Linked DNA regions of Medicago truncatula. Each later gene encodes a partner of the first gene's protein in a complex. Links are inferred from orthologs where the notes say so. Each region holds a gene or a part of one and is shown on either strand. Other genes may lie near its edges. The genes, in order: serine/arginine-rich splicing factor SR45, serine/arginine-rich SC35-like splicing factor SCL30 and SNW/SKI-interacting protein.

Region 1 (10,572 bases):
TATAAAAATTGATTTATTTATGTTGAATTAATTAATAAATGTAAGTAATAAAATAAAAGAAAAAGAATAAACTAAAAACATGCAATCTGTCTCGACACCCCCAGCACAGACAGACAGACACTGAGCTGAGGTGACTTTACTTTACCACATTTCTATGCAACTTTGCATAGAAATTTCTGAAATTCAACTACAGTAAACTCCGTCCTCTCTCAATTCTCCATCTTCTCTACAGATTCTTCAAATGAACTCTGTATATCAATGAAGGAAGCTCTTCCACTTTCATCTTCACTCCTCAACCGACCACTAACACTGTGTATGTTCAAATCATGTTCTTTTTTCTGGCTTTTCATTTTGTTCATTTTTTTTGCTTTTTTACCTATCTGGGTCTTTTTGTCTACCTTCAAAATCTTAGCTTTTTGTTTTTTTTAATGTTAAACTGAAAAACCATAAATACAACAAGGATATGCCTTTTTGTGGTTTGTTGACCTTGATTTGTTCATGAGAGTAAACAAAATTGTTTTTTTTTTTTTTTTTGTGTGTGTGTGTGTGTGGATGAAATATTCTGAACTTGAGCCTCGTTGTTTTGCAATGTTTTTAACATGCTTGAAACTTAGTTTAGCTTGTTTAATTATATTTCTCATGGTAAATTGATTAATTTAATCACTTTCCATGTGCTTGAATATGACAATTAAATTGTATAAAATTAGGTTCTGTTCCCAATTCCATTGAGGGAATTATTCTTTATTTATTTTATCTATTTATTTTGTTCATTACTTGAACTGTATTGTTTTCTTAAAAGGATGTGTTAATTGCTTAACTTGATAAAAGAACGTTTTTTCTTAAATTGAGTGGGGAACATCATAATTATGCTCTACTTGGAGTGTATTTTTGTTGTTGTTGATGCAATGAGTTGCTCCTGAACCATTTTTTTTTTTTTGCATGCTTCTATTATTATTACTTCTTTAAAACAACCTTTATTTATAAATTAGTATAAGTTTATGTGTTGAATTTATCTCATGAGGTTCCCCTTTTTTTATAGTAACATGTTTCTTTTGTACTAAAATAATTTATAGTTCTTTTGCCATAAATTGATGTTATTTCTCACTGTCATGAGTTTTGAATTAAACTAAAGACTATATGTGCTAAATTGATGTTTTTTTGGGTTCAAAATAGAACATTGCTTTAGGTTAATCAAAAGATGGAGCGCCCAAGACTTAACTCGAGGGTTCGGTGCTCTGGTTCAACTCCCTCAGAAGAATCTGCTTTGGATCTTGAAAGGAATTGCTATGGTCATTCTAATCTACCTTCACTTAGTCCACCGACGCTACAACCTTTTGCTTCAGCTGGACAGCATGGTGAAAGCAATGCTGCTTACTTCTCATGGCCTAGCCGTTTGCCTGATGCTGCCGAAGAGAGAGCAAACTACTTTTTAAATCTACAAAAGGGGGTCCTACCTGAAACCCTTGGTCGTCTGCCGAAGGGGCAGCAGGCAACCACATTACTTGAGCTCATGACAATCAGAGCATTTCACAGCAAGATACTGCGTTGTTACAGCCTTGGAACAGCGATTGGTTTTCGTATTCGGAGAGGTGTATTGACAGATATTCCCGCCATTCTGGTGTTTGTTTCCAGGAAAGTTCACAAGCAATGGCTCAGCCCAATCCAGTGTCTTCCTACTGCCCTTGAGGTTCAGCTTTAACCTATATATATAGATATTTGTTGTGATCTCTAGTGTCTGCTGCTGCAGTTAAAATAGATGTTTAATTTGTGAATCAGGGGCCTGGTGGAGTATGGTGTGATGTAGATGTGGTGGAATTCTCATATTTTGGTGCACCTGAACCAGTTCCGAAAGAACAACACTATACAGAGATTGTGGATGACTTGCGTGGAGGTGATCCGTGCATTGGTTCAGGATCTCAGGTGTTTTTTTGCTCTCTTATTTAATGTTTCCTATGGAAACAAATCATCTGGTTTACAAAAGAATTTTTTTGATTTGATTAATATCGCATGCATGTGATGATTAAAGAAGCATTTTTAGCCTAATACTTGGCAATCTCTTCCACTAAAAAATCAGAGTGTAATTACTGCACTATTGTCCTTAATTTATATCATATTCATATGCTGTAGTGGTTTGTCCTAGGAAGCTTAGCCATGCCTACACGAGTCTAACGTTGCAGGTTGTGTATGCAAATTCAACAAAACATCTTTTGTCAAGATTCATTTAACTTGACATAACTAATAAGTGCATGGACTTGACCTTCTACGATAGACTCGTGGAGATATAGCTATTAGATTCATAATTTCTTTAAATTTTAGACCTTAGATTTCAAGCTTCATCGTGTTACATGCAGTATCTAGTGCTTCAATGAACCTGTTTTTATATCTTTACATGTTTTTAATTCTCATATGGTACCTGTAGACGGATGTCTATGCTACTAAACAATGGTTTTAGTATTTTAATTGGAACTAAACCTTAAATCTGGTTTCCAATGCCTTTTCTTTGGCAATCTCATTATGCGAATGTCATTGGCCAGACATTTCGGGATATTTTCTTTCAGCCTAATCTCTACCAGTTTATATTTCAAAATTTTCTGTCCTGAATAAACAACGAAAAATTTAGGGAGGCCAGAAATATAGATCTTGTGGTTTTATCGGGCTTGTCAAAAGAAGTCATTTGAGATATTTAAAGAGTGAAATTACAGGGTTTGCAAAATCTCTTGCGATTGCCAGCTTGCAGAGTTAATAGCAATATTTCTCATTCTCATTTTTCTGTTCTATTTGGTGAATATGTTCCACCTCTGACCACTTACTTCCTTGGTCTAGGTGGCAAGCCAGGAGACATACGGAACTTTGGGTGCCATTGTGAGGAGCCAAACAGGTAGCCGACAAGTTGGTTTTCTCACAAATCGTCATGTAGCAGTCGATTTAGATTATCCAAATCAAAAGATGTTTCATCCTCTTCCACCCACATTGGGACCCGGGGTTTATCTTGGGGCAGTAGAGAGAGCAACTTCATTTATAACTGATGAGCTCTGGTATGGAATATTTGCCGGAATAAACCCAGGTAACATAATTTCAAAAGTCTGATTGATTTAATCTGATTACTTGCATTATTTTCGCTACACATACTCATCACATATCATGATGTGTTTCCCCTCCAGAGACGTTCGTGAGAGCCGACGGAGCATTCATTCCTTTTGCTGATGACTTTGACATGTGCACTGTTACTACCTCAGTGAGAGGCGTTGGAGATATCGGTGATGTGAAAATTATTGACCTACAGTCTCCAATTAGTACCCTTATTGGAAAACAAGTAGTTAAGGTTGGAAGAAGTTCTGGCTTGACAACAGGAATTGTTTTGGCGTATGCCCTAGAGTACAATGATGAGAAGGGTATATGCTTTCTAACAGATTTTCTTGTTGTTGGTGAAAACCAACAAACTTTTGACCTTGAAGGAGATAGTGGAAGTCTCATAATGTTTAAAGGTGACAACGGTGAGAAGCCACGACCAATTGGGATCATATGGGGAGGGACTGCTAATAGGGGCCGCCTTAAGTTAAAAATTGGGCTACCTCCGGAGAATTGGACTAGTGGGGTTGATCTAGGACGTCTTCTTAATCTACTTGAACTTGATTTGATTACAAGTGATGAAGGACTTAGAGGTTTGTCTATCTTTCACTATCACTATCACTATCACCATCATCATCATCGTTATTTCAATTTATAATTCTCAAATACGGGGTTAGAACTTATATTAGGTTGTTGTTCTCATATATGAAATTGTGTTGATGCCTATAGGGCATAGGGTGGGTAATTGAATGAATTAATCTGATGATATGATTTGGTAGGGTAATAGTGTGTTTAGCTATGCATTGATCAGCTGTATTCTTAAATGTTTCAAAAACCAGATTGAACTGTCCAGTTCAAACGGGAACCGACAAGTTCGCTGGTTGGTTTGATCCCGGTTTTACCACAGTCTGGTTGAACCATAGTCAAACACAGTTTGATTCAACCACACACATTTTAAATTTATATTTTATTCATCATTTGGTTCAACCGTGATCTCTGGTTCGATTTTTAAAGCATTGTTTTCTTGTTAAAAACCAACTAGCATATAATCATTTTTTTTTTTAATTTACTATATTCCTATGTTTCTGTCTCCTAATAGTGAAGATAGCATTGAAAATGTTGAAAACAATTTTCTATCAACTGATCAGGATTATCTTAATGAAGTGAAACTAGAGGTTAAATTCTAAAATCAATATCTTTTTGTGTAGTGGCGGTGCAAGAACAAAGGACTGCATCGGCTACATTTATGGGCTCTATTGTTGGTGATTCCTCAACTCCTGATGGTATGCATCAGAAAGATAGAGTGGAAGACAAATTTGAGCCTCTTGGTCTTCAAATCCAGTCTATTCCCTTAGGAGTTGAACCTAACAGCCAGGAAATGAAACCATCAACCATGGAGGCTGAATTTAAATTAGAAGACGGAATCAAGGTAGGTGGTCCCAGTATTGAACATCAGTTCATTCCGAGTTTCATCGGGCGGTCACCGTTGCACAAACACACTGTGCATGACAAAGCTGCAGCAGCAGAGAATTTATCTTCATTGAGGAATGACTGTAATGAAGATTTATGTGTTTCGTTGCAGCTGGGTGATAATGAAGCAAAGAGAAGACGTTCTGAGGCATCTACTAGTACCGAGGAACCTTGATTAAACAAATTATTAGCTTAAGCTTGAAAAACTGACTTGTTATAACAGTTAATCACCCTGGAATGCGTTGTTTATGACCATTGGGAATTTGGGATACTGTATTTGTATGATTTAGCAGCTTTGACAGAGGCTAATGACAATGATATCAGTGGAACTCACAATATGAAGTTTTAAGTGAATTGTGGACAGAGGGCCATTCAAATCTTACTATGGTTTAATTTATGTTGTAAAGTTACTTTTCTCATTAACGTGTGCAGACTTTGCCAAGAATGTGATGGCTTAGAACTGACCTAAAATGTTTTTAGGCTTAAGGAAAGAATATGAATGCAAAAAGCAACCTCAAAAGTAGTCCTTTGTATTGAGCAAAAAAGGATTTGGCCTTCTAAATCATTCTTTCCGCCATTTTTTTTTAAACTTGGTATTTGGGTCTAAGGATATGCTAATTTGAAGGATAAACGTCGTAATGACTAACGAAACAATAAATGTTGACATCTAAAGTATTCAAACTTGAAACTCTTACATAAACACACTCGCATAATTATGAAAAAACATTCGTCCAAATTTATTCATTCAAATGAAAAATAATTATGATGTTATTCAATTTTTTTTTCTTTTGAAGTTAAATTAGCCCGCTAAATTAACACCGGAGATAATCCACTCTCATGTTTTTAAGTTAATACCACCAGCCTAACCCGAATGGAAAGGGGTGTAATTTTCAAGAAATAAGTGGAACTAAAAAGTAAGTCTCAAATTTTTATTTTAATTAATAAACTTGCTTGGTTATGATGATGGTTCCATGAATGAAATTAACCCATGAAACTCGGGTAAACCCGACCCATTCAAACTTCATCCTGACCCATAAAAAATGGGTAAAAATAAAATAAAATAAAACTAAAATCTGTATCGTTCATTCATTTTCTTTCTTTCTTTCTTCTTACCTCGATTCACTCCACACAAATCCAACACTTCACTACCAGCTAGGGTTTATAGAGGGTTTCACGCTCTCTCTCTTCAACAATGGCGAAACCTGGTCGAGCTCGTCGCTCACCACCATCAGGTTCCGTCTCCGGATCTTCTTCTCTCTCCTCCTCTTCCCGTTCCTCTTCTCGCTCCCGCTCCCGTTCCAGATCCTTCTCTTCCTCTTCTCGCTCTCCCTCCCGCAGTTCCAAGAGCCGTAGCCGTAGTCCTCCTCCTCCAAGACGCAAAAGGTACATCCATCCTTCGATTCAACTTTAATTCTTGCCAAATCGTTCAAATTTTGAACCATTAGAAAAATCGAAGTCAATTTGATTTTTTGCGTAGAAGAACATGCATGAAAATGTTCAAGATGAAAACAATTATGATTTTCAGATGTTAATTTGAGAATGTCATATTTTTCAGTTTTTAATTTTCAATTTTGAGTTCGGTTTAGGTTTTCAAATAGGAGAAGTTGGAAATGGAAATCTGCCCAGTTTTAAATTTTAGTCCAAATTATTGTTTTGATGAATATGATTTTGATCACTGTAATGTAAATGTGGTTAATTGGTGTACACTGTACATTATATTTTGAACTGTACGCACAAATCACGGTTCTTTTGGTTAAATATTTCGTGGGAGTAATTTCCATGTTGTTGATTTTAGTAAAGTTTATATTTTTCAGTTCATATTGATAGGGTAGTATTTTTGTTGTGTAGTTCTGCTGAACCAGCTAGGCGAGGTCGATCTCCTCCTCTTCCTCCACCTCCACAGTCTAAGAGACCTTCTCCTCCTCCAAGGTAAACTCATTTCAAATTTGCTATTTCAATCCAACTTTTTTCTAGGACACTTCTTGTATTTGTGTATGTCCCTCGTGGAGATGGAGACTGGGAGTTTTTATTACTAATCATATTTTTCATATGCCATATCTTGACGTTGGAGATATGAAATTATTCTTTCATTTTTGCTTTTTATATACTATATCTTAACTCTTGTTGAAGTTTAGCATGGTATGTCTTGTTAGGTAATAAGATACAAACTAGTAGTGGAAAACCGCAGTAGCCAATTTATATTGTCAACTGTTAACAGTCTACTATATATTGAGGTCATCACCGACTAAAGTGATATATGTAAGATGGCCAGGGATATGGATTATATACAAGGTTGTCAAAGTTGAGATTCTGCATAGGATTGGAAAAGGGGTAAAAGATTGTAAAACGTGAGATCACGAGACAAAGGATTGTAATATAAACATGATAACAAAATTATTTAATTAATAAGTATAGTAATATTTCTTTTAAAACTCAAGTCAGAATTTTGATGTTTATTTTGTAGTTATTGTATTGTTGAAATTTCTAAATTTATTTTATATTTGAATGTAATTATAAAAGAAGGGATATAATGGAACATTATAGCACAATTATAAAAAATCCTAGTCACATGTTAGCAAGAGATATAAGACTTAGATAGATCTTATAAAACTTAGGCAATCCTCATCTTACATGCTTGTTTTATGTCATTAAGTTGAATTTGCCCAAAATTTAAGATGGTATCTTAGATCTGATGTTCGACCACCGACTATATTGGCCACACTCCAAACTCAGTAGTGCTGAGCGAGGATGATGTGTATTAGAAAAACAGCGTCCGCCATTTACTAGAGATAGTGCTTCATAAGATCTTATGAAGTATGGACTCTCCACACTTTATAAATTAGTTTTGTGGGGTTGAGTTAGTGTTGGGTGGTAAAGAACCAGCACGAGAGTAAAATAAGTGTAGCGGAGATGAGAATGTTTCATTCAGAGAGAGAGAGAGAGAGAGAGGGAGGGAGGGAGGGAGGGAGGGAGGGAGGGAGAGGGGGAGGGAGAGGGAGGGAGAGAGAGAGGTGTAGCGGAGATGAGAATGTTTCATTGAATGTGTGGTATGAGTGGACATGATAGAATTAGAAATGACAATATGAGAGAGAGAGAGAGAGAGAGAGAGAGAGAGAGAGAGAGAGAGTAAAATAAGTGTAGCGGAGATGAGAATGTTTCATTGAATGTGTGGTATGAGTGGACATGATATATGTAGCGGACCCAATTTTCAAAATACTGAATATACATTGGTTAAGTTTGTTTTTATAATTTTCAGTGCGGACTTTTTTCATCATATCTTTAAGATGTGGTAAATTTGTTAGAATATTTTTTTATTTTTCATCTCACATTTTTAAATTTAATTAAACATGCTGTGATTGTGAGCCTTCTAAGTTCAACAATTGACAAGTTTTCTTTCGATTTGTAACTTCTATCTTTTGCTATGTTTACTTATCATGCTTCATCTCAGGAAACCTTCTCCTGTACGTGAGTCTCTTGTTCTCCACGTTGAGAAACTCAGCAGGAATGTCAATGAAGGCCATTTGAAAGAAATTTTCAGTAAGTTAAACTCTTTCACTTCTGCTTTCGTCTTCAACTGTGAATCGAGATACATTTTTCATTTGAAACCAGTGTCTCATGGTATTAGGATCCAAAATTTAAGCCCAATGCAATTTTTCTGTTTCTTTTATTTTAGTTTTGATCTTTTTGTCATTTATACTTCAATATAAGTATTCATATTATTAACTGGGAGCATAGTTGCTTCATATCTATGCATACACTCTTGAAATACCAATAATCGAGAGAAACTTTTTAGTAGCCTCTAGTAGCTTGTGTGTGTAATTGGAAGGGAACTTTTAGTGACCTTTATATCTTAAGGAGCTCATATCCTCTTTTGCTGACCTGTTTTCAGGTAATTTTGGCGAGGTTGTAAGTGTGGAGTTGGTGATGGATAGAGCTGTAAGTTTGCATTTAATTTGGCATCATAGTTCTAGAAGAATTTAGAGTCGTAGGTTTTTAAATTTCTTTTAAAAAACTTTCCAGGTTAATCTTCCAAAAGGATATGGATATGTGCATTTCAAGACAAGAGGGGAAGCTGAAAAAGCATTATTGTACATGGATGGTGTAGGTTGCTTTTGCCCGAGTTGGATTAATTTCCACAATCAAGCTTGTTGGCTGCCGCATTTGGAAATTGATGCCTTTGTTTTTTTTGTTATGCAGGCCCAAATAGATGGCAATGTTGTTAAGGCAAGATTTACTCTACCTCCAAGACAGAAAGCTTCACCACCCCCAAAAGCTGTTGCTCCAAAGAGAGATGCACCCAGGACTGATAATGCTGGTGCAGAAGTTGAAAAAGATGGGCCAAAGCGTCCAAGAGAATGTATATGCTTGATATTTGTTGAACATTTTTTTGTTTTATATTTATCATATTGGTGGTTTTTATATTGGTATTGAACTAATTATTCATGGTACCAGCTTCTCCTCGGAGAAAACCTCCTCCCTCACCACGAAGAAGATCTCCTGTGCCTCGAAGAGCTGGATCTCCAAGACGACCAGAATCTCCTCGCCGCCGTGCAGATTCTCCTGTTCGTCGTCGATTAGACTCTCCTTATCGTCGCGGAGCTGGAGACACACCTCCTAGGAGGAGACCTGTGTCTCCCGGAAGAGGTCGTTCTCCATCTCCACCACCAAGGCGCCTTAGATCCCCTGCAAGGTTGGCTTGTGATTGCATGCATGTTTTTCATATACAATTTCATTATACAGCCGACTCAATTAATTTTCATTTTTGTAGGGTATCACCTCGAAGGATGCGTGGAAGCCCAGGCCCAGGTCGGAGACGTTCTCCTCCTCCACCTCCAAGACGCCGGTAACCATATTTTGAGTGCTTATTTTCCTCGTTTATTGTTTTTCAATTTGCATTTTAACATGCCATTGATTGCTCATTGGAAAAATAAATGTTTTTTTTATAGTTCACCTCCTAGACGAGCCCGTAGTCCTCCTAGAAGATCTCCAGTTGGTCGTAGGCGTAGTCGCTCTCCAATACGTAGATCTGCACGCTCACGCTCAAGATCATTCTCACCTCGCAGGTAATTTTGTCTCATGCAATATCTCAGTTCTCTAAAATGATTTATTTTTTTTTAGCATAATAATATTTTGATAGAAGCATAAAATAAAGTGTTGTAAATGAGCATGTGAACATATGATGTTTGGACCCGAGGTGTTTTGTAGTTATCCAAAATTCGGCATTCCCTTGAATGGTCATGTATGTAATCCTTAGTGAAGATTTAATTGATGCTTATTATGTAGGACTGAATATTTTATATGATGTTTGGACCCGAGGTGTTTTGTAGTTATCCAAAATTCGACATTCCCTTGAATGGTCATGTATGTAGTCCTTAGTGAAGATTTAATTGATGCTTATTATGTAGGACTGAATATTTTATAAAATGAAAAATGAATTTTTTACGTGATATAATCATGGCAGTTGGGGATTTCGATCTTGTTTCTTAGGAATCAAGGTTCCTTTAAAAAAAATCTTGTTTCTTAGGAAGAAATGCTTATTTTACAGAATACTTCCAGTGTCCACCAACATTTGTAGTGCATATGCATCCATAAATGCAAAGTTTTAATTCCTAGTCATGTTTTGATTGATTGAACTTTGCATGATAATACTTTGAAAATGTACCAACGCCTGGGTAAAATTTTCTTATTGACAGAGGCAGGCCACCTATGAGACGGGGAAGGTCATCATCTTACTCTGATTCGCCAAGTCCTCGCAAGGTTTGTGCCTTTTACTTGGTGTAGATGTCATTATTTTACATGGTCAATGATTCTAACATTCATAACTTTGACAACAGGTATCCCGGAGATCAAAGAGTCGCAGTCCAAGAAGGTAATGTGTACAATATTTGGTATAATGGTTTTCATGTCTAATCTTTTTTGTTATTATTTTTATTTGTTTGGTAACATTCACTGCCGTCTTTTCTTCTATTCTGATTACAATCTCTGGTGCCTTTTTATAGTTACTTCTGATACATTTATCACTACCATATTTTT
Region 2 (10,572 bases), on another chromosome or scaffold:
TATTAACTTGCTTGTTAAAGGATGGGATTGTTGATGTTTCCTTGATTTTTTTTTATGCACTGATTCTTGTTTTTCTATTTGTTGGAATTTGATTTTGCAGTTGTTATTAAAGTTGGAAGACAACAGATTGATTGAAACTGTTGGTATTCCTGTTGAAGATGAGAAGGGTTCAGTTCGCCTGACAGCATGTGTCTCATCACAGGTGTTTGACTTACTTTTGAATCATCGATGAATGAGTTGTTGTTTTCTTTCTTTGCAGTAATGTTTGTGTTATTGATCAAGAAACTGATATTTTCCATTTGTTTTTGTTATGTCCTTCTGTTATTTGGATATTTAGGTAGGTTGCCCTCTGAAATGCTCTTTTTGTGCCACTGGAAAAGGCGGCTTTTCTAGGAATCTTCGGAGCCATGAAATTGTTGAGCAGGTTTCTGTCCATACATACATTAGAGTAGTTTGATGTTAGATTTCCCACGTGATCTGTAAATTTAGATTTAATTAAAAGAAATAAAAATGTTAACAGAAAAGAAAGGAAAAAGATCAAATAAAGCAATGAGATCATTTTCGGGTTCGCAATTGTTTTTAAGCGAGCTCTTTATTTAAACAGGTCTTGGCCATTGAGGAGGTGTTCAAACGCAGGGTGACTAATGTAGTCTTTATGGGAATGGGTGAACCAATGTTAAACCTGAAGGCAGTACTTGAGGCACACCGTTGCTTGAATAAGGTGAATGAATGCCTATCATATGTGACATTATTTCCTTATCAAATGCTTGCTTGTAATTGTAACAGTTCTCTATATGATATTTTTAGAGTTTAAACCTGCATCTGCCATCTTTGCTCTTAACTAGGTTAACATTATCATTTAAACTCTGGGACTCATTGGTTGTTACTTATTGGGGAAAAAAACCAAATCTGCATAGAATAGAAATAGAGCCTGAAATGAGTTTATAATGAGTGGTACTCCTCACCTTATAGATCGGTTTTGTAAGGATGAGCTAAGCCCAATATAAAAATCTAATATTACTCTACTGAATTTGATTCCATCTTAGTAAGTGTTAGGTTCTCTTGCTACTGAATTGGTTGTTTTACGTAATATTATCTTTTCGTGAGGAGGAGGGGACATGGATTTTTTTATGGATCTTCTTTTTTTCTTTCCAGAAGTTTTATAGAAATTAAAACAGGCCAGAACATAAGAGAGCAAATTAGTTATGTTTTATGTTTGGTACATGTTAAAACTTAAAAGTAGAGCAGAACAGTATACACTTGCAACGTAAAAAGTGATATGTTTTAGTTCCATTGGAAAGGATAAACGAGATAGAACAGAATAGACAGTCTCACATGCATAAAAATATTTATGCATACATATACTCATCCGTCAAAAGAAATCATGTATCAGCATCAGTGTTGTCAAGTAGCGGGTATAACAATATAGCGTAGCAGAATTTGAACTAATCGCTTTTGCTCCGTGATACGCTATTTAGTGCAAAATGTTGTTAAATAGCAACTATATTTGTGCTATAGCACTGTTGCATAGCAGAATTTGAACAAACAGCTATCTTCTGCGATTGGTGATTGACACTACTGATCAGAATAACATTTTGCTTGGTCTTATTTCACCTTTTATATTTCATTTTATTATGATGATAGAGAGCATATAGTAATAGCATGTAAGTGTGCTAATGTTGGATTTTGGTTGGGCTTCTTGTAGGATATACAAATTGGGCAAAGAATGATGACTATCTCCACCGTGGGGGTTCCAAATACAATAAAGAAGTTAGCTACTCATAAACTTCAATCCACTTTAGCTGTGAGGTAATTGTCCTTGATTCTGATCTTGTCAGTCAAGAAATAGAACTTCACAATGAATAGGCAATATGCCTTTATTTCATGCCTTTCTTCGTTCACTGTTCATACTCTGGTGTTTGGTCTGGTCTGATTTGTGGCTGCAAAATATATCATTCGGTGGCTTGTTTTAGTGGATTCTTTCATACTCGTTCATGTAAATAATTCTCTTTCTAACATATGATTTCCCTTTTGTATCTTACTTCAGCCTACATGCTCCTAACCAGAAACTAAGGGAGACAATTGTTCCAAGTGCAAAGTCTTACCCATTGGATGCACTTATGAAAGACTGCAAGGAATACTTCCACGAAACAAGTAGACGGGTTTCCTTTGAATATGCACTTTTAGGTACACAGAAAGTTTCCAACAAATTCTTGTTTCTCCTTTGTACAGTAAGGTTAATGAAATTCTTACGATGTATTTTCCACTTTCCTGGCATTATGTTTGAGCAGCCGGAATCAACGACTCAGTAGACAATGCAGTAGAACTCGCTAAACTACTACATGAATATGGCAGTGGTTATCATGTCAACCTTATACCTTTTAATCCAATAGAAGGCTCTGAGTTTCGCCGTCCTTACAGAAAAGCAGTATGATAATTTTCTTATTTTTCATTCATTCTGATTACGATTTATAATTTATGTCTTGATGTATTCAATAATTTTAGAGTATTTAATCCATACTTTGTAATTTGGTAGGTGCAAGCATTTGTTAATGCTTTGGAGTCATCTAAAATAACCACTAGTGTACGCCAAACCAGAGGACTGGACGCAAATGCAGCTTGTGGTCAGCTACGGAACAATTTCCAGAAAACTCCTTTGGTCACAGAATCTGACAACAATCTGGAATCCCAGCTTCCAAATATGGACCTTGCAGTTACAGGTTGATAGTGTCAGTTTCGTGGCTGCTTACGTTATCAACTTTCTACTTATATGGCATATACTAAACAAGTTCGGACTAAAACAATGAGAGGTTTGATCAACCAAAATGAGTATAATCTCAATTACCAATTATGAAGGGATAGAGGTGTTTCCTGTTACTGCCTGAGTTGTAATGTCAACTTTCTTGCTAGCAGAGAAATGTGGAGAAACATCTATGTGGTTGTTAGCTCTATTTTTGTGGTATGCAGGTTTGGAAACTTAGAAAGTCTTTAGATTCTTTGGCAGCTAAGAGAAATTTTCATAAGAAACAACCTACTGGAAATTAGTTACTACCACAAGCAAATATTGTTGGTTATAAGTGATTAGGACTTTGTAGTTCATATGGTGCACTTGGGAGATATTTTTCATGTATTGGACCCCTTTTGCATTATATATTTATTTATTTATTTATGTCGCAACTGCTGATCCAGCTTGTAAAAATCTGACTATTAAAACAGATTTTTTCCCCCTTTGTTAATTTATTGTTTTTTGTTGCTGTTAAAACATAGGCATTGTTTGGAATACAAATCCTTTAAGTGGTTCACTATGCACCATGTCATTTTTACAATGTTAAAGTTTTCTAGTTTTTGCAAATTATAAATGCAAAATCTCACGAATTCAGATCCTAAACAGCTGCTTTATGGTATAGCAGTTGTATGGGAACCGTCAAGGAAGGTGAGGCCATAGAACTTCTTCAAGCTCTTCAATGAGCTAAGGAGTTTGGATTGTTTATTGTTATCATTGAGTTAAGGGTAAATCTTGTTCCCTCTCCTTGCATTGCTCAAAATCAGCAGAAAGCCTTTCCAAGAAGTTGGCATTGTGAAGGAAAAAATAGAATTTGGATTCCGGTAGAAATTTCATAATGTAATATAATTCAGTCATTTGGTAATTACAACACCTTTTTTCTTGCTTACTTCTAACTCAAAATACTCTTAGCATAAAGTACTTGAAGAATAGAATTTGCATAAACGTACATAAAAGTTTATGTAAACATACTTGAATTGAGTTTGAGTAAACCCTAGCAACCCAGAGTATACATGACTTCAAAAAAGGAAAAACAAAGTGTATATATGGTACATGAAATAAGTTTATGTAAACACATTTGAACTATGTTTACGTAGTTGAGTTTGTGTAAGTGTTCTCTAGCTGAGTTTGAGTAAAATCTAGTAACTCATATTTGAACTAAGTTTATGAAAAGGCAAAATTATAATTTTAATCTTTTAACTTAATTTCAGGCAATAATTTGGTCTTTTATCTCTTTTTTTTCATTTCAATTTTGTCCTTTTTATCTATTTGCATATGAATTTTTAAGCTTCAAATTCATGACTTTATTTTCTTATGGCCTCTCAATCTTTAAATCTATAATCTTTCATTTATCTTTGTTTATGAATATTTTATTTAAAGATTATAGATTAAAATTATAATTTTGACTTTATAAAAATGTACTTGAACTGAGTTTAGACAAATGTGCTTGAATTGATTTTAAGTAAAATAAAATCTAATAACTTAGAATGTTCATGAATTAAGTTATGTAAATGTACTTGTAACAAAAAAAAAGTACTTCATATAAGTTTGTGTAAATCTATTTGAAATGAGTTTGACTAAGATCTAGAATCACACTTTTCTCATGAACTAATTTATTCTCTAAGAAAAATAAAATTTAAAATAATCCATGATATTTTCATATTAATTTACAGAAAAAATTGTGAATGACCAAACTCAAAAATTTCAATAAGAGGTGTGTAAATTAAAAAAATTCCCTCAAAAAAAGAAAGATAATTAAAAATATATATATAATATTTACTTATGAATGAAACGGTGCGTTTGGAGTGGTCACGTGAAATCTAATCTAGGGTTTAAAATAGGTTTCTCAGATGAAAAAACAAACACATTCTCAACGCTTTCTTTTTCTTTTCTATTCTTTCCCGTGCATACGAATTTTTTGGTACTTTTCTCTCTAATCACTCAAATCAAGGTAACAATTTTCTAAATTCATAATCTTTTTCATCATTCCAATCTTTAATTCGTTTCAAACAACACTAAACACATTCGAATTCACGCTAATTTGCATTAATTCTTTGTTAATTTTGAAATTAGGGTTAGGTTAAGAGATGCGGAGGAACAGTCCAGGTTACTACAGTCCTCCACGGAGAGGATACGGCGGTAGGGGTGGCGGTGGAGGTGGTGGTGGTAGGAGGGGATATGGTGGTGGTGGTGGAGGTGGTGGTAGACGTAGAGAAAGCAACAATGGAAGTCTTTTGGTGAGGAACATTCCTTTGGATTGTAGACCTGAGGAGCTGAGAGCGCCGTTCGAGCGATTTGGACCGGTTCGCGATGTTTACATACCGAAGGATTATTACTCTGGGTGAGCTAACATTTGTGATCAACTCTGCGTAATTATTCATATTTATTGTTTGTGTTTTGTTGTTGTGTGTTGTTTGTTATGTTTGTGTTTTTCAGATTTGAGTTAGATTTGACAGGTTGATTGTTGGGTTGGGGTGGTCTGTTCTGTGTCATGTCTTGGTGTTGGGCCCCCTGTTTTCTTAAATTTACGATTTTGGTTCCCTATTTTATTTTTCATGACTTGGGTTCTTGCGAATTATTTTTTGGGATTTTGGTTTCTGTAATTGTTTTATTGTACTTTTGGGCGCTGTTTGGATTAACAGCTGATTTGCAGCTTAAAGCACAAATGCTTATGTATAAGATATTTCTATAGCAGAATGTAAAATAAATTGAAATTCTTTTCGTAAAATTTATAAGCTATTTTCATTAGATATCTTGGAGAACTTATGAAAATAAGCTGAAAACAGTTTATGAACAGTGTCACAAGCTAAAGCAACTTATTCCAATAGATAAGTTCATATAAACCAATCCAAACAGGCACTTGGTCTCTTAGTATTACGGTTTTTCCAAACTTTTGGTCCCCAAAAATCGTTATGTTGGAGACCAGAAGTACTTAAAATACTCAAAATTGAGGGACCAAAGTCTGAAAGTGCAAGGACTAAAACTGTAAAAGATAATATGCGGGGAGACCAAAATTGTGAATTTGAAAATAGATGGGACCAAAATGTAATTTTTTTTTGGTTTATAAGTTTAAACTTTTGCATTATGAATTAATTTTGACTGGTTTGTCAGGGGGTATGTTGGTTTGAAATTGAAGTTAAAACAAGCCCAAGCCCCACATTTGAAGAGAACTACTCACTCTTTAACTTGTTGGTTTCCAAGTGTGTTAATGTCATACCAAGATAGAGAATCTATATAATTACGCAACTCAATGAATACAAGTTTCATGCAAGTTGGTTGGTTGTCCTATTGAAGACTTTGTGAGGAGGTTTTTTTTATTTTGTGGTTGTGGGAAGCTTTGAATTCAAGTGATTATAAATACAACAAGAATGTTGAAGAATTTTTCAAGTCACTTTACTACTTGAATGTAAAGATAAGGCCCAGTCACAACTAAGCTTTGGATTTTAGCGGCTTTAGTAATTCAGCGTCCACTGCTGTGTGCATGTCTCAAGAGAGCCATTAATAGGTTGTCTAAAGAAAGCTATACTATGTAATGTGATTTGAGGTGGTTACTGTGGTATGCGAAGTCTGCCTAATCAGCATTTTCTGCAGTCTTTCTCTGCCAATATTTTTGTAGCAGTGTTAGAATGAAGCTCTGTTTTTTCCCGTACAGACAACCTCGAGGCTTTGCATTCGTGCAGTTTGTGGATGCATATGAGGCCTCTGAGGCGCAGTACCATATGGACAGACAAATTTTTGCTGGAAGGGAAATATCTGTTGTTGTGGCTGCAGAGACAAGAAAAAGGCCAGAGGAGATGCGTCATAGGACTAGTAGGTCCAGGTATGTCTTTTGATTTCTCTGCTTTGTCTGCCCTCATGTAGAAGATTACAAATCTGTAGTATATCTTACTTTGTCACATTTAAAGACCGCCCACCAAAAAAAAAAGTCCATTTATATGTATTTGCATGATTTTTGTATTTTACAGAGGACCAGGAGGGAGCTATGGAGGGCAAAGGTCTTCCTACCACGGTAATATTACTTTTACAAATTGTATTAACTTCTTGAAACCTATACTGAGCACACCTAATGCTGTTTATGGCTGAAGCATGTTTTAGATGCTAGATATGAAATTTGTTCCACCTGCACTTGTGATGCATATTGTTCTTCCACCACATTAGAATTTGTCCTTTTTGCTTGAATTTGACAATAGAATGATAGTGTGTGACATGGGTGCTTTATCTGAATTAATTTGACAATAGAATTGTGGCTTATTTAAGCCTATTTTGTATTTATGCTGATGTGAAGAAACAATGATGTATTTTTTTTCTCTCTATAATGTCATATCCATGTATTTCGTGAGTAGGAAATAGTATTCAGACTGTGTCCTTGACCTTTGTTGTCATAGTATTGATGCTCCAGAGATTTATTGTCAGGATTCCCGCTCCTATACTAAACTTTTCTATGTGTCTAAAAGTTATTTAACTAATTGATTTTAGCTAGCCTACTGAAAACCATACTAGATATAACAGGATTGGAAGACTGATTTTTGTTGGAGCGGTAGATCTCATCAATGATTGTTGTGATGGGGATACATATACTGCTAATTTTTCAAGGCGTTCATTGGGGACTGCCAATTTTTAAGCTACTTTACTAAGAGTATGCATAGGTGCCATGCTTGAAGATATGCTTTTTCATATTTCTTGTTAAAGTCATTGGGCTAGTTTTAGGCATAGAGGAAGGGAAGGTGGGGGTACTCAGAACTATGATAGAAGTAGGAATGGTATGTTGAATGTTAACTACAGAAGTCAAAACACGAGTCTTTATTTATATTAATCTATTACTGTATTACTCTACTAGACTCTTAATCCTAATGAAATATGTAAAAAATAACAAATCATGAAAGTAAGAGAATATGGAAAACTAATTTTAAGATAAAAGATAAGATGCTTTGGACATATTTTACAACACTAGATTCATCATTCATGGTGTGGTGAGGTATTTTTCAGATGCTATGACAGTTCTTTCTCCCATTCCTCAACTTTCGTTGACCACGTTTAGTCTTTTGATGTGCTAAATCAGCTGCACTTTATAGTTATACAATTTTTCATTCATCTTGGTAAATGTTTTCATATATATATATATACTCCCTCCGTCCCAAATTGTATGTCACTTTAGAAAAAATATTTGTCCCAAATTGTATGTCACTTTAGAATACCAATGAAACATTAATGTTACTTTTCCTATTATATCCTTAACTATTTATTACTCTTTCTTTTTTCAATTTTTTCATTTATCTTTCCTATATCATTTATTAAGGAATAATTTTGTAAAACAACTCATAATATCTCTTTACCACACAATATTAATTACATTTCTTAATATGTGTGAAATGCCCAAAACGTCATACAATTTGGGACGGAGGGAGTATGAAGCATTGTTTATATTGAATCTTAGTTCTTAGGTTGCCCAAATGTAATATGGCATTGCTCTGCATTTCTTACAAATACTTACAATTTTATAATCATGTCAAATCCATCAGGGCGTTCTCGATCTCGCTCAATTTCCAGATCAAGATCACCTCCTTATCACTCTGGTTCTAGAAACCGCTATCGCTCAAGGCAAGTTTCTTCAAATAACTTCCTTTTATATGTTACTGAATCACGAAGTCATGGTTTTGAATTGATATATGCCAGGTCCAGGTCCTTCTCTCCTGCCCCAAGAAGGCAAGGTGACTACTCTGTTTCTCCTAGAAGGCATGCAGAACGCCCTAGATCACCTAGAAGTCCTCCTAGAAGTCCTCCTGTGGAGCGAGATGCAGATCATAAACGCAGGTCGTATTCTCCTCTAGGTTATGGCAATGATGTTGATCAGAATCAAAGCAATGGATATGCTGAGTGAGCCCATCTATTTTCTGTTTAGCTTCTTTAATTGAATGTGCTGGGTTCCCCTCTCTTGCGCTGTATGTTTATACTTTGTTCTGTATAAAGGAAATCTGTGTACAAATCTGAGGCGGATAGAGGCCCGTGGAAGTCATCAAGATCACCCCCAGGATCTAGATCTAGATCAAGATCTGTTGATTTGTCACCTAGACGTGGCAGATGAGGTAAACTGTTTAATGTTAAGAGTATATTTATTAGGATATCAGTTTCTCTGTTTAGAATCTATTTTGATGGTTTTATTCATGCAGGTTGCACTGCAGGTTTATTGGCAATGCGCATTTGGGCTTATGTATAATTTCTTCAATTTATCAGAAACATGTAGACTGCTTAAAAGTTTCGAATTGTTGTGATGGATGGATGTATAATCCTTAAGCTTGTTATTGAAATGTTAGCGTATTATGATGGATGGTTGTATAATCTTTAAACTTGGTAGTGATGTGGGGCTTTTTGGACTTTGAACTTGTGTAATACCTATGTAACTGATGAATTGTTGAGGATTTTAAGCTTTTATTTTTCATGTCAAACACTCTTCAAATGATTTCAACATAGTTAATGCAGTTGTACGTCAACGACTGGTAACTAACATAGTACTAGGTTTGCTAAAATGGTGATTTTGCATAAGCTACAGTGTTGGGATGTATGTTTTAGGTGTGATTGATACCTTCATCTTGTCTAAAAGAATGTATAATGCTAGCATGTGTTACAATCACCATTTTAGCATGGGCAAGTGGTTAATTTGAAGTAAAAAAAAAAATAGAATATGCAATGATGTAAGTTTCAACTGCTCAACAGAACCAATTCTAGCAACCAATAAATGTTCTAAATCAATCATGTTGGACGAAGAACTTATTGTTGCAATTAAATTGGAGTTGCTTAACTCTTGATTGTTATGTCATCAGATGTGGTATCAAGTGTAACAATCTCATGGTTTCATTGATGTAGTAACTATAGGAACTCAAGTTTTACAAAATACGTCCATACCAATCAGAAATTATATGTTATAATATGTAGCCTATATAAAAGTCTTGTGACTGCTAGTTAGACTTGATTCGAGCGAGATACTCTGTAAGCATTTGTTCTAAATTTGTGTTTAAGGTCATAAATTTTGTTTTAGGAATGTAAACTTGAGAATATTGCATTTCCGTGTGATAAAAACTAGTAAAGCTCAATGTTCAAGGTTACTGGCATTTTCTTCTCAAAAAGGAAAATCAGAAATGTTCCAAGGTTCCCTTAATTTTGTTATTTAGTAAAGCTGAATGTTTCTTGTAATGATGAGAAAACTCAAATGTAGCAAGCAAGTGATTATTGTACAAGTGAGGATCAGAAAATGGAAAACGCGTAATAGCATTGATTGATGACTTTCCATTTCTTACGTGGCTAACTAACAACTAGTATTTCTTTATTTGTTGGATACTTTCAGTTTCACATTCTTTGCCTTTGAAGGTAAGGTGGCTTTGTCTTTGTCAAATCTTCTAGTTACACACGTTTTTGTCATATTATGGGTTGCTGATGTATATTGACTTTCACTTTTCTTCCTTCTATTAATTAGTACCAAAACAAAGAAACTTCTTCTATTTCATTTCTCCACTGTTGAGAGAGAAAAGAAGAGATAGAGATTTGAAGAGTGAGAAAGAGATGACAATTGGGTTCATGGAAGTGCTTTTGGTGAAAGCAAAGGGTCTTCAAGAGACTGATATCTTTGGTACAAAACATTTTTTTTCAATTTAGTTAATGTTTGCATGCAATGTTTTTCCTCAGATTTAAAACATTTTTTCTGATTCTAAATTTTCTTTTTTTCTTGGTTTATCTTCTGATCTGACATTTCAGATTTACATGCAAGTTGAAAATGCTATTTTTATCATCTTTTTAAA
Region 3 (10,572 bases), about 23 Mb from region 1:
CATGTATGAAATATGCCTTGACAACTTCAGATTCTAGGCCCCTAAAAAATACTTCAGTTTCTAACTAACTCTTTATTGATTTGATTTAGTTGATAAAAAATTGGTCCATATCCTATAATTGTGTTGGTTCCATTGTGATGTCAATGTGATAACCTTTTTAATGGACGTCTTATAAGTATTTATATAAAAAATTCTTTAAGCATTGAAGCGTGTTTTTTTTTTGTTACAATTGAAGCATGTTACAATCCAACTTACTTAAACTTTTTTTTTTTTTTTGGTCTTAGATGAAGTGGTAATCCATTGAAAATAAACACACACACAACTGTGAGGTCCCGGGTTCGAACCCGGGTCATGACGTCCGACCTTGCAATTTCGGCATTTGCCAGTTGAGCTAGGACTTCTAGACACTTAAACTTTTTTATAAAAAAAAAAACATATATATTCTATTTATATATAAATTAAGCTAACTTCATATCAAATTCAATTTGGGGGAAGAGAAATGGTCATCCTTGTCATCCATGCCTCGAAAGCCTTTTTTTTTTCTATGAGATTTTCTAATTTAATATTTTTTTTAACAACAAATATTAGTATTGTTAGTATTATATGTGTTGAAATTTTGGAAGTCTTACGACGTTGAATGAGTAATCATATTAGACTTTTGAGCAACCAAGGGAAACACTATTTTTACTTAAAATATTAGATGTGAGTGTTTTCCATTATACTCACTCCCTCCCTCTATTTAAGAATCCATTCGATTTTATTTTTATCCTTAAATATAAATCTCTTTTTAAATTATTAGATGTATTTATTTTTTTTTTTCCTAAACATACTCTTAATTAATACTACTAACTTGTCTTGAAATTTGAAAAATCAAATTTAATACATATACAAACAAAGGACAATTTAGTAATATTAACACACAAAACAGACACATTATTTACACCGACAACTTTTCATAAGAAATGTGAAAAAAGCAAAATGAGTTTATATTAAGGGACGGAGCGAGTATGTTGTTCAACTTCTCATATCTATCAATGTTAGCTTGTAATTCAGTTTTTTTTATTTTTTGTTACAGCTTGTAATTCAGGTTTGACAAAGCATAATTTTTTTTTAGAGGACCTAAAATCATAAACATACTTTATCATTTTCTTGCACTTAATTTCATGTGTAGAGTAAAAAAAAAGACTTTAATTTTAAACTAAATTTTCGGATTATTTGAAATCTTAGAAAAACTCAAGTTCCGAGTTAGAGACCAAGAGTTATTTAAGAATAATGAAAATATAAGTGAGATGAGTTTTATGCTCCGTAAAACTTTTCACACGTGCTTTTAATCAAATTATGTCAAATAGATGAATATAAAGAGTATTCTTGAACATAACTCAATTAATAACGGTATGGGTTGATGTTTGAATAAGAGATTTTTACTTATTCCTTTTAAAAAATGAATTCTAGTCTTTAAGCTATTTGAAAAAAAAAATAAAGATATTTAAAAACTAATCTTAAAAAGTGGCATCATGAAGTGATTTTGATTAAATCGATTTGTATATAACAAAATTAAATTGTTAATGTATGCAAATTAAATTAAAGATCATTCAACCAAGCTTAAATAGTCAATAAACTCCACCTAAAATGAATTGTTTGAAAAAATTAAAGTTCATTTTTAGATGAAATAGTTTTTTATCTGATTTTATTTACTTCTTAAGAAAACACTCTATATTAATAAAGTTTTTCCCTATATACCAAATGGTAAAAAAAAAAAAAAAGAAGAAGATAATTTTAAAATTTACATACCAACTTTGGCAGTTAAAAATGTGTTTTAATCTATGAAATTCGGATACGTGATACGAGTGTGGGTATGATACGATACGAATAAGTAAATACGCAAAAATTTAAAATTGAAGATACGATACGACTAAAATACATTAACAATTTTTTTATACAAAAACTTATATGAATGTAAAACATTCGAAGAAAAAAACATTCATTACTCTTAAAAGTCACAATTTTTAAAAATAATACATGTGATCAAAATAAAAAATAAAAAATAAAATTTTCATATAAATAATATTATATTTTCATTCATATATTATGATATCAACATAAGCATCATTAAAATAACGCAACACAAATTTTGTCTAATGTTGATTAATTAAATCTTCTCTCTCATTACCTTCATCCACAAAAATAAAATAAAAATTTAAGTGGTTCATCCAAAAATAATTATACTATTTTAGATCTAAAGTTGAATCATATACACTTCCATTGAATTTTCATAATATAGGTATTTGATTGAATTTTCATAATATACGTAGTTGTGAAGTATTTTATAAGCATCTTTATGTATTTGTGAAGTATCATCTAAGTATTTGCTAAAATATTTTTAAAAAATTAAAATAATTAATTCCAACACTCCATGGGCATATCTGTGGAGTATCCATATTTGAATCCGATATGGATGCGTCTCATGGAGTATTCGGGCTTCATATGATTTAATTTATGACTATTATTTTTCTCACCCTATCTACTTCTCACGCGCCATATAATTTTTATAAAATACCCATGAGATTTCAGATTATAAAATCTGAACACAGTTTGGATCTGTTCGGATCATACAATCCGAAATATGTTTATATATAATCAGCAATTAGAATCTCTTCCATTTTAGCAGTTTTGAATTTTGCTTTTAAAAAACATGTCAAATAAAATCATAAAAATACCACAAAAAAATTCTAAAAATCAAAATTAAATTAATGAAATTTTTTTTTTTCGAATTTTTATGAGATAAGAAAAATTGGTCTAAACGATGGAATTTTAAATTTTGAGGGACGGAGTCTCGTAAGAAGTCCCTTCTATGGGAATTTTGATCCTTGATTTTTTTTCTTTTAATTTTCTGGGGAAGTATCGCAGCAATCTGATCAAGTATTGCAAAAACCAGATTTTTGATAAGAACGACTAAAAATGATCTAAAATAAAAGGATGGGGAAGATTAATATGATCCTTAAACTTGTTATCCATTTTACAAAAATACTCATAGCCTATTTGGATGTGCGGTAAAAGTGTCTTTCTCTCGTCCCAGGGTAACTTGGCCGTGGTTTTAACAAGTTACAAATTGTAACTTCTTGGCAAATGTGGTACTCCACCGCTAAAACAAACACTGCATCAGAAGTTATGCTGGTAGAGTTAATATTATATAATCCGAACTATTTTTCTATTGAAAAAGGATGTTTAGGGGTGTCCTGATTCTATAATCCGAAAAAGCAAGGAACGCGCTCTTTTTGTTAAGTTTTCGGATTTAAAGAATCTAAATTGGTGAAAAAGTCATTTTTTTTTCACTCCATAACAGATAAAAAACTCAATTCAAATTATAAAATCCGAAATCACATAGACATTTTCCTACAAAAATAGGACGCACGAGAAATAGTTTGAGTGAGAAAGTAATAGTTTTAATTTTTTATATATAACATAAGATTAGTCATTAGTGTAAAGAGTTTATTTTTTTGAGAGAAGTGTAAAGAGTTTATATGTGGTTCATGAGCTGGTTTTATTATTGAACCGGTATAACTAAGAACCCGGGTTAATCGTTATCTTGTGTATAATTTTTTACTAGACCGACATTGGTTTATCTATATAAAAATCAGAAATTAAAAATTAACAAAAATCTCAGAACCCGAACGAAACACACTGAAGATTGAAAAGTCTCAAAGGAAAATCAAAATCGCAAATAAACCCTAAATCGCGTCACCGTCATCTTCAACCACGCGCCACTGATCCTCACTGCACCGTCCTCCGCCGTTCACAAGTAATATTTCTTCAACCAATTTGTTTCTATTAATTCTTATTTTAATCGACGTTAATTATCGATTCCATAAATTAGGGTTTCGTTTTTTTGATTTTTTGAAATTGATTTTTGTTGCAGAACCATGGCGGCTCTGAAGGAACTCCTTCCAGAACCAAAATCATCCACAACAACATACTATGATCATAGCAACGATCCATGGTTTAAGCAAAGATTCACTGCAACGGAAGAGGAGAAATCCGCTGCAATCGCACCCAAAATTGTACCACCGTATCTGAAACGATCTGGTTTTGTTCCACGAAAGGTTGAGGATTTTGGAGAAGGTGGAGCTTTCCCGGAGATCCATGTGGCACAGTATCCGCTTGATATGGGAAGGAATAAGAATTCGAAGCCGGGTTCGAAGATTCTTCCGGTTACGGTTGATGCTCATGGTAATGTTGCTTATGATGCTATTGTGAAGCAGAATGAGAATGCTAAGAAGATTGTTTATACCCAGCATAAGGATTTGATACCGAAGATTTTGAAGAATGATGGAGATGATGAAATGGAGGATGGTGAGGACGAGGATGCTCAGCGTGAGATTGATGAGACTATGGAGGAAACAAAGGCGGCGCTTGAGAAGATTGTGAACGTGAGGCTTAGTGCTGCGCAGCCGAAGAATGTTCCGAAGCATAATTCGGATTCTAAGTATATAAAGTATAAGCCTTCGCAGCAGAATGCGGCTTTTAATTCTGGTGCGAGGGAGAGGGTTATTAGGATGGTTGAGATGCCTGTGGATCCACTTGAGCCTCCAAAATTTAAGCATAAGAGGGTTCCTAAGGCTTCGGGTTCACCTCCTGTGCCTGTGATGCATTCACCTCCGAGGCCTGTTACTGTGAAAGATCAGCAGGATTGGAAGATACCACCTTGTATTTCGAATTGGAAGAATCCTAAGGGTTATACTATTCCTCTTGATAAGCGGTTGGCTGCTGATGGGAGAGGGCTTCAAGAGGTTCAGATTAATGATAATTTTGCTAAGCTTTCTGAGGCTTTGTATGTCGCAGAGCAGAAGGCTAGAGAAGCTGTAGCTATGAGGTCTAAGGTGCAGAAGGAGATGCTTTTGAAGGAGAAAGAAAGGAAGGAACAGGAGTTGAGGGCTTTGGCTCAGAAAGCACGCTCAGAGAGAATTGGTGTGGCTCCTCCGGCTGCTGCTGTTCCCGTTGTTTCGGAAAAGAGTGGTGTGGATGATGGTGATATGAGAGTTGATTATGACCACAGGGGGGATAGAGGGGATAGAGACAGGGAAAGGGAAAGGGAAAAGAACTATCCCAAGGAGAGTCGGGAAGAAAAAGAGGAGCGGCTGGGACGTGAGAAGATTCGTATGGAAAGGAGAAAGGAGAGGGAGAAGGAGAGAAGGATAGAAGCTAAGGATGCTGCCATGGGAAAGAAGAGCAAGATTACTAGAGATAGGGATCGTGATATAAGTGAGAAAGTTGCTCTTGGTATGGCTTCCACCAAGCAAGGGACAGAGGTCATGTATGATGAGAGGCTATTCAACCAGGATAAAGGAATGTCTTCTGGATTTGCCACTGATGATCAGTATAATGTGTATGATAAAGGCTTGTTCAATGCACAGCCAACACTTTCCACCCTGTACAGGCCGAAGAAGGATGTTGATAATGAAGCTTATGGAGGTGCAGACGAGCAGCTGGAGAAGATTATGAAGACTGATCGCTTTAAGCCTGACAAATCATTTACAGGGACTTCTGAAAGGGCACCTCCTAGGGATAGGCCGGTTGAGTTTGAGAGCGAAGAAGCTGATCCATTTGGTCTTGATCAGTTCTTGACAGAGGTCAAGAAGGGTAAGAAGGCCATGGAAAATGTAGGTGGGGGAGGAACTATGAGAGCTAGTGCCGGATCTTCAATGCGAGATAGTTCTGATGGAGGTTCTGGCAGGACTCGCATTGGATTTGAAAGAGGGCGTTAAGTGGATCAGTGTTGAAGGCTAATTGTTATCATGCTTAGGTTGGCATGTCTTTAAGTGGATTGTAAGGATAACGTGGTTGAGTTATTTATCTTACTTTTTCTTGCCCCAAGCCTATGGACCACCTTATAAGTGGTGAAATGTACTTGTATTTTGTTTTGAAACCTTTTTATGTTATTTATCTTTCCATGGAGTTATATTCAGTGAAATGCAATGTTCAAATTTTAAAGTAGATCTCCACTATTTGAATGAAATGTATTTGGCTGTTACAATGTACTCCATGATATATCTAGTTTTTTCATGCCTGATTACCGGATAATACATTTGCTTTCTGCCATTGCTGTTTGGTTTATGCCATTAATGGACTGTTATGGCTGGTAATGAGGATATTGACTACAGCTGTTGAGACTAGAGTGGAACTGTTGGCTTTCTGTTTTCATGTTATACTAATCGATGGTTCTCTACTAGAATGAAATGTAATCGATAGCTTTAAATTTATTTAACGAGTTATCAATTTTTTCAATACTTTATAATCCATTTGATTGCTTGTTATTGCTGTTTGAGTTATGCTATTGAAGGAGAAATTGTCAATTGAGGTGTAAAACAGTGTTTAATCATTACCTGACCCAAGGATTCAAGTGGATGTGTATTTTTTTTTTTTTTTGAACTAAGTGGTTGTGTTTTTTGATTTGATAGAACTGTGTATTAGTAACCCCTCCATAGGACAACATTTGATGCCCACAAAAAAGGATGGGGAACAATATTATTTTTAGTAGTTCTTGACAACTATGTTGAACTAACTTCTCTAGATTTGTGCACATGAAGGCTCAACCCCATCTGCTGTATATCGTGGTTTTACTACTTTATAGTCTTGGGAAAATTATATCAGACCATCATGATTGTAATGTGTGGAGTGTAGCCTGCACTAGAATTGAAAATTACATTAGATCATCTTTGCATACCATTTTCATCCAAGCTTCCTGTCAGATGGTACAGGCATATGATTTTTTGTGACATATTTCTATATTGTATAAAATTGGCTGATTAGGGTGTGCTAAATTGTAAAAAAATGCTTGGTGCTTAGGAAGTTGCTATTAATTCTAGTCATGTGTTTCAAAAGGTGGTGGATAATCCTGTCAATTACTTCTGTAGTGAGTTAATTTTTTCCAGTCCTGCTATTTTTTGAGGTAGTTTTCGTAAAGTCTAACAAATTTGTAAATTGTTCTAGCGCGAGGTTTAACTAATAGCCTGATGTAGAACTTATTGTGAACTGTGTTTTACTAAATTACAGAATGAGTCCTTGCATCTTCTCTGTGATTGCTCTTTCTCAAGCTTTTGATGTTTTCACTAGATTAATTAAGCTTCAGCTACCCAGTCTGTCAGTTGATTCTCATTCTCTGGTGTAAGCATTTGTTCTTTAACCGTCATCAGATTTGTATTGTTTTCTTCTAGTCACTCCATGAGTTTTCTGTGTTGAAATGGTTCTTTTGATTATCGATGCTGGAGTTGCCAGTTCCGAAAGTGTTATGCCGAATGATACGGTAAAGACTGATGAAACTGGGGACACAAATAAGGAATGAACCTCAAAGAAGAGCAAGAAGAACTAGCATGTGGAAAAGCCTCCTAGCAAGTCACAAGTTAAGAAAATGATTTCTGTTTTACTTCTGAAAACATCCATCATTGCTATTCTCTTGTTTTGCGGGGTGCCTTCTATGTGGTAATTTCCAAAACATCCCTATCATTCATTTCAAATTCATAATTAATACATTTTTGAACTTCAGGTTAATACTTAATACGTTCTCGAACCATTTGATTTTCAGATTATCTTATTATTTTTCTAATACATCATTTTTTTATTTAACTCAAATGTATTTCATAATTGTTAATTTGCAATTTACTTTTGCTTTTAGATAAAGTTTTGGTTGCTTGTTAAAACTAAGCTGGTCATACTCAATTAGGTATATAATGTCTTTTATTGATCTTTTGTTTTTGTCTTTCTGAACTGAACAACGTTCAACAAGGCATCTTCATGCTCCAATGTGTATGTCAATAAATAAAGTCTTTCTTGATGTTCACTGTGACCTAATTATCTTGATCTCACCTGTAAGTTTAGTATATGGGTAGCAGCAGAAGCTTAATCAGCTCCTTCTATTGTTTTAACATCACGTTCACATGATGGACTTCATGTTTTTAATTATTTTTGAGAGGCTTATCCTTATCCTTGGTTGAGCCATAACACAGAATGTCATAAATCTTCTTTTCATGGTATTTCCATGTTTTTCTACTAAAACATTTGAATTTGCTTCTATACACACTTTTTATCTGTGTTGTAACTCTTTGGAATGAACTATCAGTGTCTTTTTTTCTGACAAGTTCAACATACTGATTAATGATCTTCTATCTAAAAAAGGTTGTGTATAATAAGCTCTGATGGTTAGCTTGCATGATTTTCTGTACTAATTCTGAAATTCATGTTTTAATTTTTTCTTCTGCTATGTACAAAATGTGATGTGATGTGAGTTGCCACTGAGGCTGCCGATGATGAAATTTCACTATTCTGTCTTTTTCAATAGTTTGAGATCATGGATTGTGAAGTGCAATTGAGACTAGAGATGGTTTACTTGGGCATAATCCATATCTTGTAAACAAAATATGGTTCTATGAACATTTTGGTTCTTTCTCATTATATAATCTTCTTTTCCAAACTGAACTCATTATCCAGTTCAGTGCACTAGGTTCTATTGACCCGAATTGTCAGTGTATTCATAACCAATCTGAAGCTTGGTTCCATTTCTTCTTGGGCTGCGATGATTTCCCAGCACCGATTGATCTGAAGCAAACACCATTAGCTAATAATGATTCAATAGCAAATAATTTAGATGAGCATTGGAAGAGCTCATACTGTATCACTTTTTTTTATTAAGTATTCATTTGGGATTTTAGTATCTCTAAGAAACTTTGAGACTCATTTATTTTATGCTTTGATGGATTTGGGATTTTATGAACACACAGATCGAAAACAACAAAGTGGCACTGCTTAACCTATTTCAGAGCTTTTTAGCTTGTGTTATGGCTTTTGTTAAAGGGTTAAATATGTTTTTGGTCCCTACATTTTACGCGATTTTGAGAATAGTCCCTACATTTCAATAAATGTTTTTAAAATCCCTACATTTTTCCTCCGTTAGCGTAAATAGTCCCTGTTGTCAAATTTCTAACGTGATGTCAATGTTGGTGGTTCAATCTCGCCGGAAAACGGCGGGGAACTTCACCACGGTCTTTCTCCGCAACGTCGTAGATGCGGATCGCCGGTGTTCGTGACATTTCCAGTGAAATATGTTGGTTTAGATGGAAAGATTTGGAGGCCGAAAGCGATGATGTTATCGTTGAAAGTGTTTGCTGTTGCGGGTGTGGAAGGTGTTGTGGTGGAGATTTGGTGGGGTGGGTTTGAACTTGTTATGATGGCTTGTGTTTCATCAATATGACACTGAAGGCAGGGACCAATTGCACCAACGAAAGAAAAATGTAGGGATTTTTAAAACATTTATTGAAATGTAGGGATTATTCTCAAAATCGCGTAAAATGTAGGGACCAAAAACATATTTAACCCTTTGTTAAATAATCTAAAACACAGTCGGAATGTAAGATCAGACAGCTCAAAAATACAACTCCTTGATTGCATAACTACATATAATCCATTTTCATAGTACTACACTTAGCATCAAGAATCATTCAATTTCAATCCAATGAAAATCTTGCCTGGAAGATCCTTCATACTATCTTTGCATCCTCCTCTGATTTCACCTTAGCTTCTTCTTTAGCCAATTCAAGTGCTTGAATCAAACTTTTCAAATAAACTTGTGCATCCTTAGAAGAAGTCTTTGGCATCAAATGCTCAGCAACATCAGCTGGAGTGATTTTAATTTCCTTCAACAATTCACATATTGTGCCAAACAAATAATGTGACTCAATATTAAGATAGTTCTTAGCCAACAACTTGAATGCCTCAAATCCACAATATGACAACTCTATGTGCTTATCCATTCTACCTTTCCTAACCAATGCAGGATCCAATTTCTCCACATAATTTGTTGTGAAAACTATAAGTCTTTCACCACCACAAGCAGACCATAGTCCATCAATGAAATTCAATAGCCCAGAAAGTGTTACTTGACTATTTTTTCCATCTTTTTCTTCCACATTTTCACCTTGTGTTTGTCTTGGATCTTTCTCTTCCTCTTCCTTTTTCTTCCTCCTTTGACCAGTCAAATCAAGTGAACAATCTATATCTTCAATCACAATTATAGATTTACTTGATATCTCAATCAAAAGCTTCCTCAATGCAGTGTTATCCTTCACAGCAGTCAATTCAAGGTCATAAAGATCATAACTTAACAGATTAGCCATAGCACCAATCATTGTTGACTTTCCAGTCCCTGGAGGACCATAAAGTAAATAACCTCTTTTCCATGCCCTTCCAATTCTTGCATAGAATTCACCAGCTTTACTAAATGTAATGAGATCATCAATTATCATTTCCTTCTTCTCTAAATCCATAGCTAATGTTTCAAATGTTGATGGATGCTCAAATACAACATGGCTCCAATGAGATCCACTATTAGTATAAAGTTTCCTTTGTCTATTTTTCACTTGAATTGCTTTACCTTCTTTTAGTACATGGCTAAGATATTTCCCTAAAATCACATCTCTATTGTGTTTATGGAAAGTGAGTTTATAGTACCTTTTTTCATCTATGTTTTGATGAAGTGAAATTGAATTTGAGTTGGATGCTTTTTTGCCACTGGCCCACCAAAGT

The links.
Region 2: serine/arginine-rich splicing factor SR45 (region 1) and serine/arginine-rich SC35-like splicing factor SCL30 share a complex: the UniProt entries of both Arabidopsis thaliana proteins name them as parts of the spliceosome. The link is inferred for Medicago truncatula from reciprocal best matches to the Arabidopsis thaliana genes SR45 and SCL30.
Region 3: serine/arginine-rich splicing factor SR45 (region 1) and SNW/SKI-interacting protein share a complex: the UniProt entries of both Arabidopsis thaliana proteins name them as parts of the spliceosome. The link is inferred for Medicago truncatula from reciprocal best matches to the Arabidopsis thaliana genes SR45 and SKIP.

What each region holds. Positions count from the first base shown.
Region 1 is NC_053043.1:34,991,047-35,001,618, reverse strand, and holds the start of serine/arginine-rich splicing factor SR45, read left to right. Parts: upstream 1-5,625; 5' UTR 5,626-5,731; coding exon 5,732-5,922; intron 5,923-6,387; coding exon 6,388-6,468; intron 6,469-7,987; coding exon 7,988-8,076; intron 8,077-8,428; coding exon 8,429-8,475; intron 8,476-8,559; coding exon 8,560-8,640; intron 8,641-8,736; coding exon 8,737-8,896; intron 8,897-8,991; coding exon 8,992-9,229; intron 9,230-9,307; coding exon 9,308-9,382; intron 9,383-9,485; coding exon 9,486-9,602; intron 9,603-10,232; coding exon 10,233-10,296; intron 10,297-10,373; coding exon 10,374-10,408; intron 10,409-10,572. Other genes in the region: protein NARROW LEAF 1, read left to right, coding at 1,199-1,687, 1,777-1,920, 2,824-3,064, 3,162-3,662, 4,278-4,714. UniProt on the Arabidopsis thaliana protein: Involved in 5' and 3' splicing site selection of introns, and may bridge the 5' and 3' components of the spliceosome. Isoform 1 is required during flower petal development and isoform 2 is involved in root growth.
Region 2 is NC_053046.1:35,352,333-35,362,904, forward strand, and holds serine/arginine-rich SC35-like splicing factor SCL30, read left to right. Parts: upstream 1-4,590; 5' UTR 4,591-4,733; intron 4,734-4,855; 5' UTR 4,856-4,869; coding exon 4,870-5,123; intron 5,124-6,434; coding exon 6,435-6,602; intron 6,603-6,747; coding exon 6,748-6,791; intron 6,792-8,301; coding exon 8,302-8,380; intron 8,381-8,455; coding exon 8,456-8,656; intron 8,657-8,749; coding exon 8,750-8,864; 3' UTR 8,865-8,865; intron 8,866-8,949; 3' UTR 8,950-9,225; downstream 9,226-10,572. Other genes in the region: probable dual-specificity RNA methyltransferase RlmN, read left to right, coding at 101-202, 338-424, 605-721, 1,706-1,809, 2,048-2,187, 2,292-2,428, 2,537-2,725; 16 kDa phloem protein 1, read left to right, coding at 10,337-10,403. UniProt on the Arabidopsis thaliana protein: Involved in intron recognition and spliceosome assembly. Probably active at the 5' splice sites.
Region 3 is NC_053043.1:11,527,310-11,537,881, reverse strand, and holds SNW/SKI-interacting protein, read left to right. Parts: upstream 1-3,637; 5' UTR 3,638-3,799; intron 3,800-3,916; 5' UTR 3,917-3,920; coding exon 3,921-5,762; 3' UTR 5,763-6,078; downstream 6,079-10,572. Other genes in the region: AAA-ATPase ASD, mitochondrial, read right to left, coding at 9,528-10,572. UniProt on the Arabidopsis thaliana protein: Splicing factor involved in post-transcriptional regulation of circadian clock and flowering time genes. Associates with the pre-mRNA of PRR7, PRR9, ELF3 and GI, and is necessary for the regulation of their alternative splicing and mRNA maturation.